2 linked regions of the Tamandua tetradactyla genome follow. The protein of the gene in region 1 binds, or shares a complex with, the protein of each later gene. Links are inferred from orthologs where the notes say so. Each region holds a gene or a part of one and is shown on either strand. Other genes may lie near its edges.

Region 1 (7,108 bases):
CTCTGGATTTCAGGATTTATCTGGCCTAAGAACCCAACTGGAGGTTGTAGTTTTCTGGAAAGTAATCTTAGCACGTGAAAGTTTTGGAGAATATCAGATAGAACCCTAGGTGTTGCTTAGGGTTAGCAGGAATGGTGCTGGTTGGGGTTTGACAAACCATGGTAATTAGCAACATCTAGCTGAAGCTTGCATAAAAGTGCCTCCAGAATAGTCTCTAGACTCTATTTGAACTCTCTTAGCCACAGATACCTTATTTTGTTACATTTCTTTCCCCCTTTTGGTCAGGAAGACATTGTTGATCCCAGGGTACCAGGGCCAGGTTCATTCCTGGGAGTCATGTCCTACTTTGCCAGGGAGATGTTCATCCTTGGATGTCATGTCCCACATAGGGGGAAGGGTAATGATTTTCCTTGCAGAGTTGGGCTTAGAGAGAAAAATGCCACATCTGAACAACAAAAGAGGTTTCCTGGAAGTTACTCTTAGGCATAACTATAGGTAGGCTTAGCTTCTCCACTACAGAAATAAGCTTCATAAGAGCAAGTCTGAAAATCAAGGGCTTAGCCTATTGACTTGAGAGTCCCTAATGTTTGAGAGAATATCAGGGGTTTCCCTGGTGGGAAAGTTTAATAGTTCCATATTTTGTCTCCAGTCCCTCAAGGGTCTTTTCCAATACTTTTTAATTATCTGTGTAACATACCCTGGGATGCATCTGGGTATTACATTAAGCTATACAGAATTACAAACCCTCATTCCCATTCTGAGCCCCATGTGTTTGGGTTGTTTAAATGTTCTATCCAGACAGATTGAGTTAGATTATGTGCTACAGAAAACTTAGGTTTTGGACAAAAGAAACCTCTCTTCCTTTGGTCTCATCCAATAGGTGAAGTTCTAAAATACAGACAATGTCACCTTACCTGTGTATTCTGATTTTCCTTAGTCCTGACCTATTGGCTTTGTTCTTATCTTTAATCTGTTTTTCGGTTTCTTTAACAGTTGTTGTATGTAGCAATGCTGACTTTCAGAGGCTCAGAACTCCAACTCTGAGTCTTAGAGTTGGAATTTAGTACCCAGAGTTTCAGGGTGATACCAGGTTATACACATATAGCATAGCATCTCAAAATCTATAAATAACATTTACAGCTCTGAACTAAATGTGACTGCTATAAGAGTTTACAGTCTAGGCCCCAATTTTCTTATAAGTATTCTTAAAAAGAGACCATATGCTATTTGTTCTTTTGTTTCTGGCTTATTTTTCACCACATAATGTCTTCAAGGTTCATTCACCTTGTTGCATGCCTCACGACTTCATTCCTTTCTGCAGCTGCACAATTTTCCATCATATGTATACAATACAGTTCACTATTGTACTTCTCAGTTAATATATCCTTCAGCCACCTCTACCCATTGGGTATCATGGATAATGTCCAAAGTAAGCAATCCCTGTCTCACATTATCTTCAGTTGTACAATCAACACTCTCCAATTTTAGGCAATTTCCATTGCTCCAAAGAGAAAAAATAAATGATGAACATACCCTCACCAAATACAAAATCGAAACCTCCCCTTAACTTTTGTCCTCCCCTCCCAATTATTTACTGCTGGTATTGCTGTGGTACTGTTGATGTCTTCCTGTTAAACATAGCAGAGTCACACTTTAATAAATGCACTGGTGAATACAGTTCCTGAGAAGATATTGTTCTTATCAAAATAAGGCAGAATATGTTTTTAGAGAAAGGGCTTCAGTAATTTAATTTTAAAAACAGAAATATAGGAAGCAGATGAAGCAACAGGGGCACAGGCAATTTAGCAATCAGGTTTTCCGACAATTTAATAAAGGGCACATACATATAAAAAGGGATGAAAACGATAAGCCAAATCTTTCTTATACAGAATGTAGAGATGAACTTCGAATATTTTCATTGCGTTAGGATTAGAAAGACGGTGACTACTAATAAATAATTTAAGTTTCTCCAGCCCTGCTATTGCCTATACCAAAGGTTTGCTTGCATTAAACCTCTGCTTAATTTCTTCCTATTGAAGATATCTGTTGGGGATTGAATCATGTCCCCCACAAAAGGCATGTTCAGGTCCCAAGCCCTCGTCCTGTGGGTGTGAACCCATCTGTCAATAGGACTTTTGAGATGTTATTAGTTGAGGTGTGTCCAAACTGTATGAGGGTGGGCTGTAATCCAAAATGGGTGAAGTCCTCATAAAGTAAAGAAAATTGGACACAGAGCAGTTAGAAGCTGGAAGTCAATATAATTTGGGAGAGAAAGTAGAAGATGCCACCATGTGTGCTGACGTGACAGAACAGCGAAGGAACCCCAAAGATTGCCAGCTGGCCAGAAGATACCAACCATGGGAGGAAGCAAGCCTTCTAGCCTCTGAACCTGTGAGCCAACTCATTGTATGGTATTTGTTTTAACAGCCAGGACACTAAAACAGTTGTTTTTCTGCTTATTTAAGTTTGAACCTTCATCTTAGACCATTTCAACATTCCCTGATATGTGGTATGTATCATACAGACGATATGGTCAAATCTCTTTTAGTATTTGCATACTATTGGCCTAGTTTTTCTATTTTTGCCTTAAAGTCTACTCGAATTTTGCATCAGCATTTATTTATTCATTTTTTGAAGGATTCAAGAACAATCAGAGCAATTCGCTTTTGCACAGTTCACCAATGTTCAGATACAATAAAAAAAACTACTACCTTTAATTTTGCTTTTGTTTATTACTGCAAAAGGTGTGTATGGAAATAACTAACTTCATTCTGTATTGTAGAAATTGGCTATGTTCTGCGAGGTTTTATTTATTTTATTTTTACATTTTAGTCTCTGGTTTCTGAATTATGATTTAAAAAGCACATCATACCCTCTAAGTTAAGGTGATCATTGATGCAAAAACTACAGCCAGCTTTTAAAAGTGTTGTAGAAACAGAAGGCTGGTCAATGGTTTACTTCCAGTTAACATAAGCACATTGTATTATTTTCAAACAGAAGTTTTAAATCAGCTTATACCCAACTTCACAGCAAGGGATGTGATGTCTTTCTCGCGTTTTCTGTTTGCTACGTTTTGTCCTGGGAGATTCATGGGCGATTTTAGGGCTATTTTTATAGCACCCCCCCCCCCCCCGTGCGACCTCCATTTGCGAAATTGGCTGCAACCTGGGCGAGGGGTATCCGGCAAAAGGGACCCCGAAACGGACCCCCGAGGGCGCTCCCGAGCACTTTCGAGTAAGTGAGCAAATTATGTCCCTCCACCCCACAGGATTAATCTGCAGTTCATGTTAGCTCAAGTCTGGGTTTAAAGGAACAACCAAATCCAGAAAGCGGAACTAGAAGGGGAATGCGTGAAACAAAACTACGGAGAAAAAAGCTGTTTCAAGGTATATGCAGCAACACTTGAGCTGCTTTAACCAGCTGCTTCTCCCCTGCTCCTCGAATTTGGAGTTTTAGGACAGCGCCTGCTCTTTGGATACATGGCCAGGATGGGCGGTGGCCAGGATATGAAGGCGATGGCGAAGGGAAGCGGGATGGACACTTGACGCGGACCCCGGTGTCTAACTTGGGCAGTCTTGGGTGCAAGGAAGCAACTAGATTTTTTGGAGGGCGTGGAACTGGGGGAACTGACAAGGGCTTTCCTGGGCTCGCAGTCTTCTGCGCCGAGACACCCGAGGGCGTCTGCAGCAGTCGCCTGGCGGCCGAGCGCTTCCGGCTCGCGACTCAGCACGCGGTGGCGGTCCTAAGGTGTGCTACCGACAACCGCAGTGCACGCGGGCTGGCCCGGCCGGGGGGCGGGGCGGCGGCGGCGGTTGCGGGGCATGCGCGGCTTCGCGCGCGGCTTCTCAAACATGGCGGCGGCGGTGTGAAGTCCGTTGCCGGCTCGCGGGACTAGTGTGACAGAATTTCGCTTCTTTGGACTCCGAGACCCGAGGTGCGTGGCGACTCCGGTCTCCGTGAGGAGGAGGGAGGCGGAGTTGTGGCGTCCGGTCCCCCGGCCGTTGACCGTGGGCGGGCGGAGGGGAGACTTCGGCTGCGCGTCCCGCTCGAGGAACGCCCCCTCATTGCCCCGCGGGGGTCTCGTTTTAGCTCGGCCCGGTGCCCTCTTCTCCCACCCATGAGACTTTTGCGGCTTCCCTGCCCCGCGTAGTGCCCTCCGTGGGCACCCCGAGGCACCTCTGGCGACGCCCCTCCTTTTTTCCTGGGGCCCCTGTCGCCCGGCGCGGGCCCATGCCGCCCGCGGCGTTTGGGAGCCCTGCGGCTCTCCGCAAGCGGCGCCCTTTTCCTCAGCGCGGACAGCGCCCTGTAGCGCATCCGCCCCCCCCCCCCCCCCCGGGGGCTGGGACCGGGTAGGGACCGGGGCGGCGGTGAGCGGCCCGAGAGCTTCGCGCGCCAGGGTTGGGGAGCAGGAATGACTTTGCGTGGTCTGGATTGTGAACGCCTTGGGCTCCTTCCGGGGACTTGTGAGGTAAACTTTCGGAGTTTGGGAGGGAAACGTCAGCTCGGAAGGATGCGCGGATCCCGGTGCCAGGGGCGCGGCAAGGCCTCGCGTGAGGGGCATCTAAAGTGGGGGGCAGCGGACTCGCGGGGCTAAGCGGGAGGGGAGGGCGCGCCCCGCTGGGGTGACGAGGCGCCCCGACTCTCCTGAGGAGCCGCGAGGTGGCGGCGGCGGCGGCGGCGTTCCCTGGCGGTTAGACAGCGAGCGGCTGAGGACCATCGCTGCCTAATTTAGAAACAGCCCCGAAATGGTTCCTTACCTTTCTCACTTTTCCCCCCTGCTTGGTGGTTGTGCTCATCCTTAGTATGGAGAGCCACTGGTAGAACGGGTAGGCAAACTTTATAGATTTTGCGCCTTAAGGTTTCGAGTGGTGAACTGTGTAGCTTACTTGTTTGCTTTTTTTTGCTAATGTTTGGGCAGTACAGGTTTTTAATTTCAAGTTCCCAGTTAGGTCTGTTGAAGCCTTTTAATGGGTTACAAAACATCTGTCACGTTACAAAGTATGATTACACTTTAAAATTTGCCTCTATTTTGAAGAATTAGAAAATTAACATTTATGATTTACTTGTAAGGTGACTTTAGGACAACATCTCTAGAAAGTGAATGGGTCGATTAGTAGGGGTGGAACTGAGGCAGGGAAGTAAGTAACTCGCTTGTGAGCATAGTATTTACAAAATTGTTGGGGATGAGTTTCTTTTCCCAAGCAACTCTAGATGTTGCTGCATTTTTAATGTCTCCAGACTTATTCATGCTTATGTTTTGGGAAAGGGCCATATTATAAAAAGATGTATGTCGTTTATGGAGTGCAAATTCCAGTGACAAGATACTATAATAATAATTCATAGACAACACTTTTGATTTATTTTTCCGTAGCAGTGCTTGCGAATATTCTTTAGTAATGACAATTTTTGCCTTCCTTGCCATTTTTTTTCTTAATTACTCACTAAATAACATATTTCCAACTATGAATGTTCTTTCAGGCTGTTTGTGTTTGCTATGTCTGTTGAGAAGAATGTGAAAATAAGCTTTTGTAAATGAGACCAATTGAGATTTTTGAGAAAGAAGTACATCATGAGCATTCACCTCATGCCTTGTATAGGTTTTGCCATAGCTTTAGCCATAACTTTCAAAACAGTCTGATAGAAAACAACACATAATCAAACATCATTTAAAATGGCTTTTAAATTTTTGAATAAACTTCATAAGTATCATGCAACCTTACAAGCTTCTTAAGGGTTGTATATGTGTTTCCCTCAGAGAATTTGATTTGCTTTGGAAGTTGTATTTAATGTAATTGAACTACATGTGTGAAGATCCTTTAAAGGTGATAGTGCCATAATATGTGCAGAGAACATTGAAGACAGTCTTAAAGACGTTGTGTCAGTTTTTCCCATGAGGGGGGTTGGTCAGTCTTTGTGATTTTATTGTTCAATCATGCATCTTTATTAAGTGCTTATGCTATGTATCGAATAGAGTTCAGTTCAGGGAACATTTATTCAGAGCCTACTAAGTGCTGGGCACAGTGCTAGTTTCGGAGTGTTTTAACTTTTCTGAATAAACAGTAGTTTATTCCTGAAAAGTTCAAGGTTCTAGCTAAGAAAATCAGTATGAATGTGAAACAAGTATTCCTTTTAGTTAAAGGGCAAACTCAGGGAGTCAGTACTTTTGTCATTATTCTCTAAACAAAATTCTTGGTGCAACTGAATTATTATTTCTGACTTGTGTGATATTAATTTTTGTGTGATATAAATTATACATTTGTATGAGGGATTATTTTCTGGGTCAAATAGATAACGTATTGGTTAGCCTAAAGGGAAAAAATGAGTTACTAGCACAATTGAAATCAGTGTGTGCTCTGGAGAGTGCTTTTTTTTTTTTTCCCCCAAATGCTAAGCAACCTTACTTTCTATGACCAAGTATTTTAGGCTGGAACTGGACTTTTACCTGATATTTTAGGACACTTTTATTCAAAATACTGAAAAAAATCTCTTTGCACTTAAAAATAGCAAATAAAGGTTATGATGGTCAGCTATAAGCCAGATGTCACTCTCATTTTCTTTTGGGTTTGTTCCTTTTTAGCTGCTTGCCTGTTCCTCCCAGATGCTTCCTATCGCCCCTCTTCCTGCCCCTGTTCCCTTTGCTGTTGGTGTCTGTTTCCGCATCAGTGAAATGATCAGGGTAATCCTGTGTGCCTCACTGAGGAATAATTGATGATGGTAAAGTGCCTTGAAAAGATTGAGTAAATACCAAGTCTTTTGAATGAGGTGACGTTACCACCTTGTTCCATTTAGGGAGCTTGCAACTTCCAATGTTTCTAGGCTCTCGGGGGAGAGGGGAGAGAGAGGAAGAAAATTTTACTTTTATATTTTACCACTGCTCTCTTTAGGTTAATGGAAATTATTATTGTAACTGGAACATTGGTGGATGCAAGGGATCCTCTGCTATTTGAGTTATGAGTCACCTCTAGTCCTTTTTTGCCATATACTGCCCTGTCTGCCACCTTTTTTTCCCTCTGTGCCAGATGGATTCTCATTCTAGTCCTGAATGGATATCTGAGGTCATCTCTATTAGTTCCCCTCCCCTAGGAGTCTCATTGCCTCCTCATAGTCA
Region 2 (5,428 bases), on another chromosome or scaffold:
ATTTGAACCCAGCCCTGTCGGATTCTGCACATTTCCCCTTAATGTTTATGCTCCCCTGCTTGTGTCATGGAGGCTCCTGTCCCTCTTTAGTGGCATTTCACTACTAAGTACTTTCTCCTACTCCACAAAGACTGATGTCTATTCATGATGCTGATGTTTTTCATTTGTTTAGGGCAGGGTGACAAGGCCAGAATGGGTTCCCACCTCGTCTCACTGGCGGCCCCTGTCGGTCCGTATATAAGTGGACTCCCGCAGTCTTCCCCTTTAGTCTAGTCCCTACTCTGGTTTAGCCGCACCGCCTGGGCGTGAAGCAGAACGCCCACCTTGGGATGAGGATTCCTACCAACTAGTTGAGCTCCGTCTCAGTACCGAACTGGAGGTGGAGAGCAGCCTGCTTTTCTTGACCCCGCCAGCCAGCAACGTGATCTCGGCAGCCAAGTGCGAGCTCCCAGATGTTCACCCACTCTGCGCAGCTGGCCCAGGGGGAATTGCCCCGCCCGCGAAGTTTGACTAGGGTTGGGCTTCGCTCGCACTTCGCAGCATCGCTGTTAGCGTTTGGACCTAGCTCTCACTCTCAATACATTAGCGAAGCTGCTCTCCATAACAGGTAAATACGGTTCTGATTTGCCGGAAGAGACACTTTCCTATCAGACGCTGAGGCATAAGCCAGACACTGCGGTCGATCGGCGAGGAACCGCATCCAAAGCTTGGGCCTCCCCTCCAACACACCCTTCATTTGCATAATAGTCGCGATATAAGTATTCTGAGGCAGAGGGCTCAGCTGCTTACTCTGCTTATTACTCTCAGAGAGGCTAGGGTAGGAACGTTCCTCCCCACCCCCACCCCCGCAAATAAAAACTACACACAAGAGCGGGGCCTCTACTGCACTGCAACGCAGCTCCCAAGACACATACATCTTAAGCACGTGGCGGTGGGATTCCCGGCCTGGGACCTACTGCAGGGATACCTCCCCTTTTACTCTCTCCATTCTCGAAGCCTCAGCAGAAATAGAGCCATCTCCAATGGTATTCAGAACGGTACATCTTGCGTTTAGGTCAGACACCCGTGTATTAATACAAAAACGTTAGCAGCTCTTGTTTTCAAGTTTTGAGGGCCCTAAAAAGGACTTTCTGGATTCTATGAAGAACTCGCGGTCACATCAGCCGCCAGAACCTGTGCGTTTTAAAGCGTACACCACATACATGGCTGTGATCGCCTTGCGTTCGGTGTGTTCAGTGTTAAGTCACCGCGTTTTCCAGAAAGACTCGGAGTGCTTGGGTCTCTTCGTAGATAAGCCCAGATATACGTTCACGGCGAGCGAAGTCGACGGATCACAAGCCTCGTAATGTCTTGGCTGTTACCCCACTAAACCTTCCGATAGTACTCGGCTCCCCCTTCGCGCAACCCTTAACCTTCTTAGCCTCAGCCACACCCAACAACAAAAAGAAATCTCGAAGCGAAAAAGTAACGACTAGACCCACCAGCCCCAGCTCCCGGCCTTTATTCTCTTGTTGCGGACCTGTTTGAAAACCTCAAGTGGGCGGAGTTTGAGGTCTCACATCCGGAGACTTTTTTTCTCAGAATTGATGAGTTTGTTTTTGTGCAGCGGTAAATTGTGTAAGAAGCACGCAAAATAAGACTGATTTTCTTTTGTTTTGTTTTCAGTTTCGGGAGAAACTTTAATACTTTTGCCATAAATTTGAAGAAATATTCAATATGATATATTTAAAAGTTTTAGCAAAATAAACTAATAGAATTTAGATTACGTTTCCTCAACGCTTAAGAAACAGTAAGAGAAGTCCTATACTCTCTAATTCTGCTTTTCAAACAGAATGCTTACTCACATAATGCCATTCCCGAACTAATGTGAAGTAGGAACAGAAAATTTATTACATTGTATTAGCTCTCAAAGCAATAATTTTACAGCTATTTATTTATTTATTCTTTCGTGTCTGAGGATAAATCTGATAATCAGAATTATTTCAATAGGTAGTCTTTCCCTCCTCAGCCCCGCCTTAACCCCCTTTAGAAGGCTCTCACCCCTTTCTTCGTAGAATCCCTGAACGAAAACTAAGCTTTCAATAAAGTATCACTGCTCTTGAAGCGAGACAAAACTCTTCCTCACACATTTTACTACGTTAAAAGGTAGCAGTATTTAAAGGATGATTCATAACTTTGCCAAGTACTTAACATTTCGGGGACTATTTTAGTAAATTGGGCTCCCTGCCTCCAAGTTTGAAGGACGAGCCCTTGCAGAAGGACAACGTCATGGTAAAATTTTATTACATTTTAAAATATTTATAATTTTCACTTGCTTCAATCCTTACCCATCTTCAAAATTCAAAAAGTGCATTTGTGTTCATTATGAATCTAAAGAACACAAGGAAGACTGGATGGCTAAGAAAAAAAAAATCTTGAATAGACAAACCGTACTTCATGGTTTTAATCCTTAACAAAGAGAAAAGAAGACGATTCTCTATAAACCTTGCAGAGATTTGTAACAGTAAAATAGGTTTAATTATTTATCTTTACTCTTCTTTTTAAGAAATTAAAAGAACATTTTCAAGTTAGATATTGGCATTGCTTACAATAATAAAAAGAAAAACCGCGTTCAAAATAATGATGAAAAAAAAATCTAAGAATTTCCCATGATTTTGGTAAAAATTTCAGCCATTTTACAGAACTCGTTTCAGGAACATCTTGTTAAAAATTGCATCAGAGATTTATATGTTCATTTATTCAGTATATCCAACAGTTACTGGATTCTTACAAATGTATTTAATCTTCAATACAACACTTTAGAATAGGTACACAAGCTAAATAACATCCGAAATTAGCTGGTAAGAAAGTGATGGAAGAAGGATTTGAACCCAGGCAGTCTGGCTCGACTGATCGCCGTAACCATTACAATATACTGCTTATTAGCTCCAAAAACATTTAAATAAATCCTACTATGGGTCAATTATTGTGTTAAACAGTCAGGACCTACACATAAATAAATGAAAATTTGAACTTAAATGAAATCAAACCTTTATTAAGATATGAGAGGGTAATTTTTTTTCATTTAAATTGGAACTGTAATCCAGATAAAAATATTTTAATAAGTAAATGTTTAACGTTACATCACGCCAGCAGTATAATTATATAATTGTGGAGAAAATGCTGAGGTAAACGAAAGATTACCGGAAAGTAATTTGTAATAATAAAAAACTTTGTTGCAAATGCTACGGATCTGCAACGTGGATATATAAGGACCGCTGCTGTAGTCCTTTGATGTTTTCACAACCTCTGAGAGCCACAGGGCGGTAGAGGGCTGTGGAAGAAGTTCCTAGCGCCATCGGAAGGTCTTAGGCAACCGTATCCACCTCTGCACTCACAGACAAGCATACCCCGGGCATCTTCATAGTCTTCGTGGAGATGTGATTCACTGCACAACGACCTCCACCGCACAAGCCAAGCCCAAGACTTTCAGCCTCAGCGACTGAGCTGCGCCAATGGCCTCTCCCTGAAAATACAATCTCAAAGAAAAAAAATGTTCAACTCTGGCCAAGCGAGCTTTATTCCTGCCGCTTGTGCGGAAAGCATTCATGTCTAGTTGTTTAAGAAGCCTCGTGGCGAAGATTGGCAGCCTGTGGGTGAGGCGGCGGGGATATAGTACCGTCCGGTGTAGTTAAAATGTCTGGTGGTCAGATTCTTCCTACACCATTTGGCTAAGGGGGGCATCTGGGTTGCAGTGGCTTTGTTTTAAGGAAAAGCCAACGTAGCGTGTACTGGGCTTGGAGAATTCGGTAGGGAAGTTGTGATTTCGCTTGGGGGAACAGCGTTCCCTTAAAGCACCGGCTCTCGAATCAGAAAAGCACCTTGCTTTGACGCCGTATTAAATGAGAAAAAGTCCACCTAGAGAGCATAGCTAGGTCTGGCACAGGGTGCGACCTCCATTGCTAGGGATATCTCGTGCTCCAGCGCTACGTTATTAGTGCATGAAGGAGCTCCCCTTGTGGGTTTTCCCGTATCCAACCATGCTTCCTTAATTCTCAGGACTTTTCTTGGCTAAATTCAGCCGGGTCCCCAAACGCCACCCCACGGTATTCATATTAGAGGCTATGTAAATGAGGATTAGGAGTTTTCCTCTTTTGATTGGAGAAAGCTGGAGAAGGCGGTCCCTCTGCTAACTCGCGAACTGCGAGCAGAGCCTGCCTGCCATTGGTCACTGGAGCCGAGGGATGTTGAGGCGTCCAATGGGAAGGCGCTGCTTAGTGGACACAAACAGGTAGAGGCAGTTCCTGTGTGGCTCGCTGCATTCTCGAGCCGAGACCCAGGTCCTGCGTCGTTTGTCCTCTCTGGAGGCTTGAGTGAGAGCCGAGCATGTCCGGTCGTGGGAAGCAGGGCGGCAAAGTGCGGGCAAAGGCCAAATCACGGTCCTCACGCGCGGGCCTGCAGTTTCCGGTGGGTCGAGTGCACAGATTACTGCGCAAAGGAAACTACGCGGAGCGAGTGGGCGCCGGGGCGCCGGTGTACCTGGCAGCGGTGTTGGAGTACCTGACCGCAGAGATCCTGGAATTGGCTGGCAACGCCGCCCGCGACAACAAGAAGACCAGGATCATCCCTCGCCACCTGCAGCTCGCCATCCGCAACGACGAGGAGCTGAACAAGCTGCTGGGGAAAGTGACCATCGCTCAGGGCGGCGTCCTGCCCAACATCCAGGCTGTGTTGTTGCCCAAAAAGACGGAGAGTCAGAAGACGAAGAGCAAATGATCCCAACGCCGCCCCCTGGAAGCGAGGCTAGCTGGGTTCCCCGGCCAGAACCTCCTTGTTAGCCGTTCTCAGTGTCTTTGAATGTGCTGGGCGTCATGGAGGGTCGGCGCGGTCTAGTGGACATCTAGAGCGGCCCGCCTGGGTCGGGGACCAATAAAGTCGGTGAAAATCATTTGGTCGAGAAAGCTGTGTAGTCGCGGGGATCTGCCGGATTATCCCGAGCCGGGGGGAGGGGGCGGCCGGGAAACTCTAGGTGCAGGTTCTTGTGGTGGGTTTGGGCCACTTTCTGGTCCGCAGGTCCCCTTTGAGCCTTTATGGGCTGAGCAGGGAGATCTGGAGGGACCCACTGGCCCGGAAAAAAGCAGGGTTAGATGCTCCTCGCTCGCCTTAAGGCAAAGGAAGAGCCGAAGTAAACGTTCAAGCGGCGGGAGGTATTTTTTTTTTACACCCCTTCCCTAGGCTTTTAACTTTTTAGTGCTATCTGTGGGCGGTTCAAGGCCCAGTTGTCGGAAGTGGACCAAAGGCCCGAGCCCTTCCCGGGCAGGAAGTTGTCTCTGGGGCCATTTTCACTTCACTCCCCGTCCTTTTCAAAAGGTAGAGTAACTTATGTCTTCCAAGGGTGGTGGCTTTGATGACGCGCCATCAACTTAAGAAATTAGCCTGATGACTGTTG

Evidence for each region.
Region 2: the proteins of SCML2 (region 1) and H2AJ are in contact, whole or in part, in a crystal structure (PDB 4EDU), measured with the Homo sapiens proteins. The link is inferred for Tamandua tetradactyla from reciprocal best matches to the Homo sapiens genes SCML2 and H2AJ. Residues at the interface, in NP_006080.1 of Homo sapiens: Asp182, Asn185, Tyr187, Leu188, Cys190, Phe206, Trp209, Phe213, Pro239, Pro240, Gly241; in NP_808760.1 of Homo sapiens: Leu35, Arg36, Lys37, Gly38.

The regions. Positions count from the first base shown.
Region 1 is NC_135353.1:156,474,532-156,481,639, forward strand, and holds the start of SCML2 (sex comb on midleg-like protein 2), read left to right. Parts: upstream 1-3,836; 5' UTR 3,837-3,934; intron 3,935-4,712; exon of another isoform or gene 4,713-4,826; intron 4,827-7,108. UniProt on the Homo sapiens protein: Putative Polycomb group (PcG) protein. PcG proteins act by forming multiprotein complexes, which are required to maintain the transcriptionally repressive state of homeotic genes throughout development.
Region 2 is NC_135333.1:77,349,744-77,355,171, forward strand, and holds H2AJ (histone H2A.J), read left to right. Parts: upstream 1-4,224; 5' UTR 4,225-4,365; coding exon 4,366-4,755; 3' UTR 4,756-4,927; downstream 4,928-5,428. UniProt on the Homo sapiens protein: Core component of nucleosome. Nucleosomes wrap and compact DNA into chromatin, limiting DNA accessibility to the cellular machineries which require DNA as a template.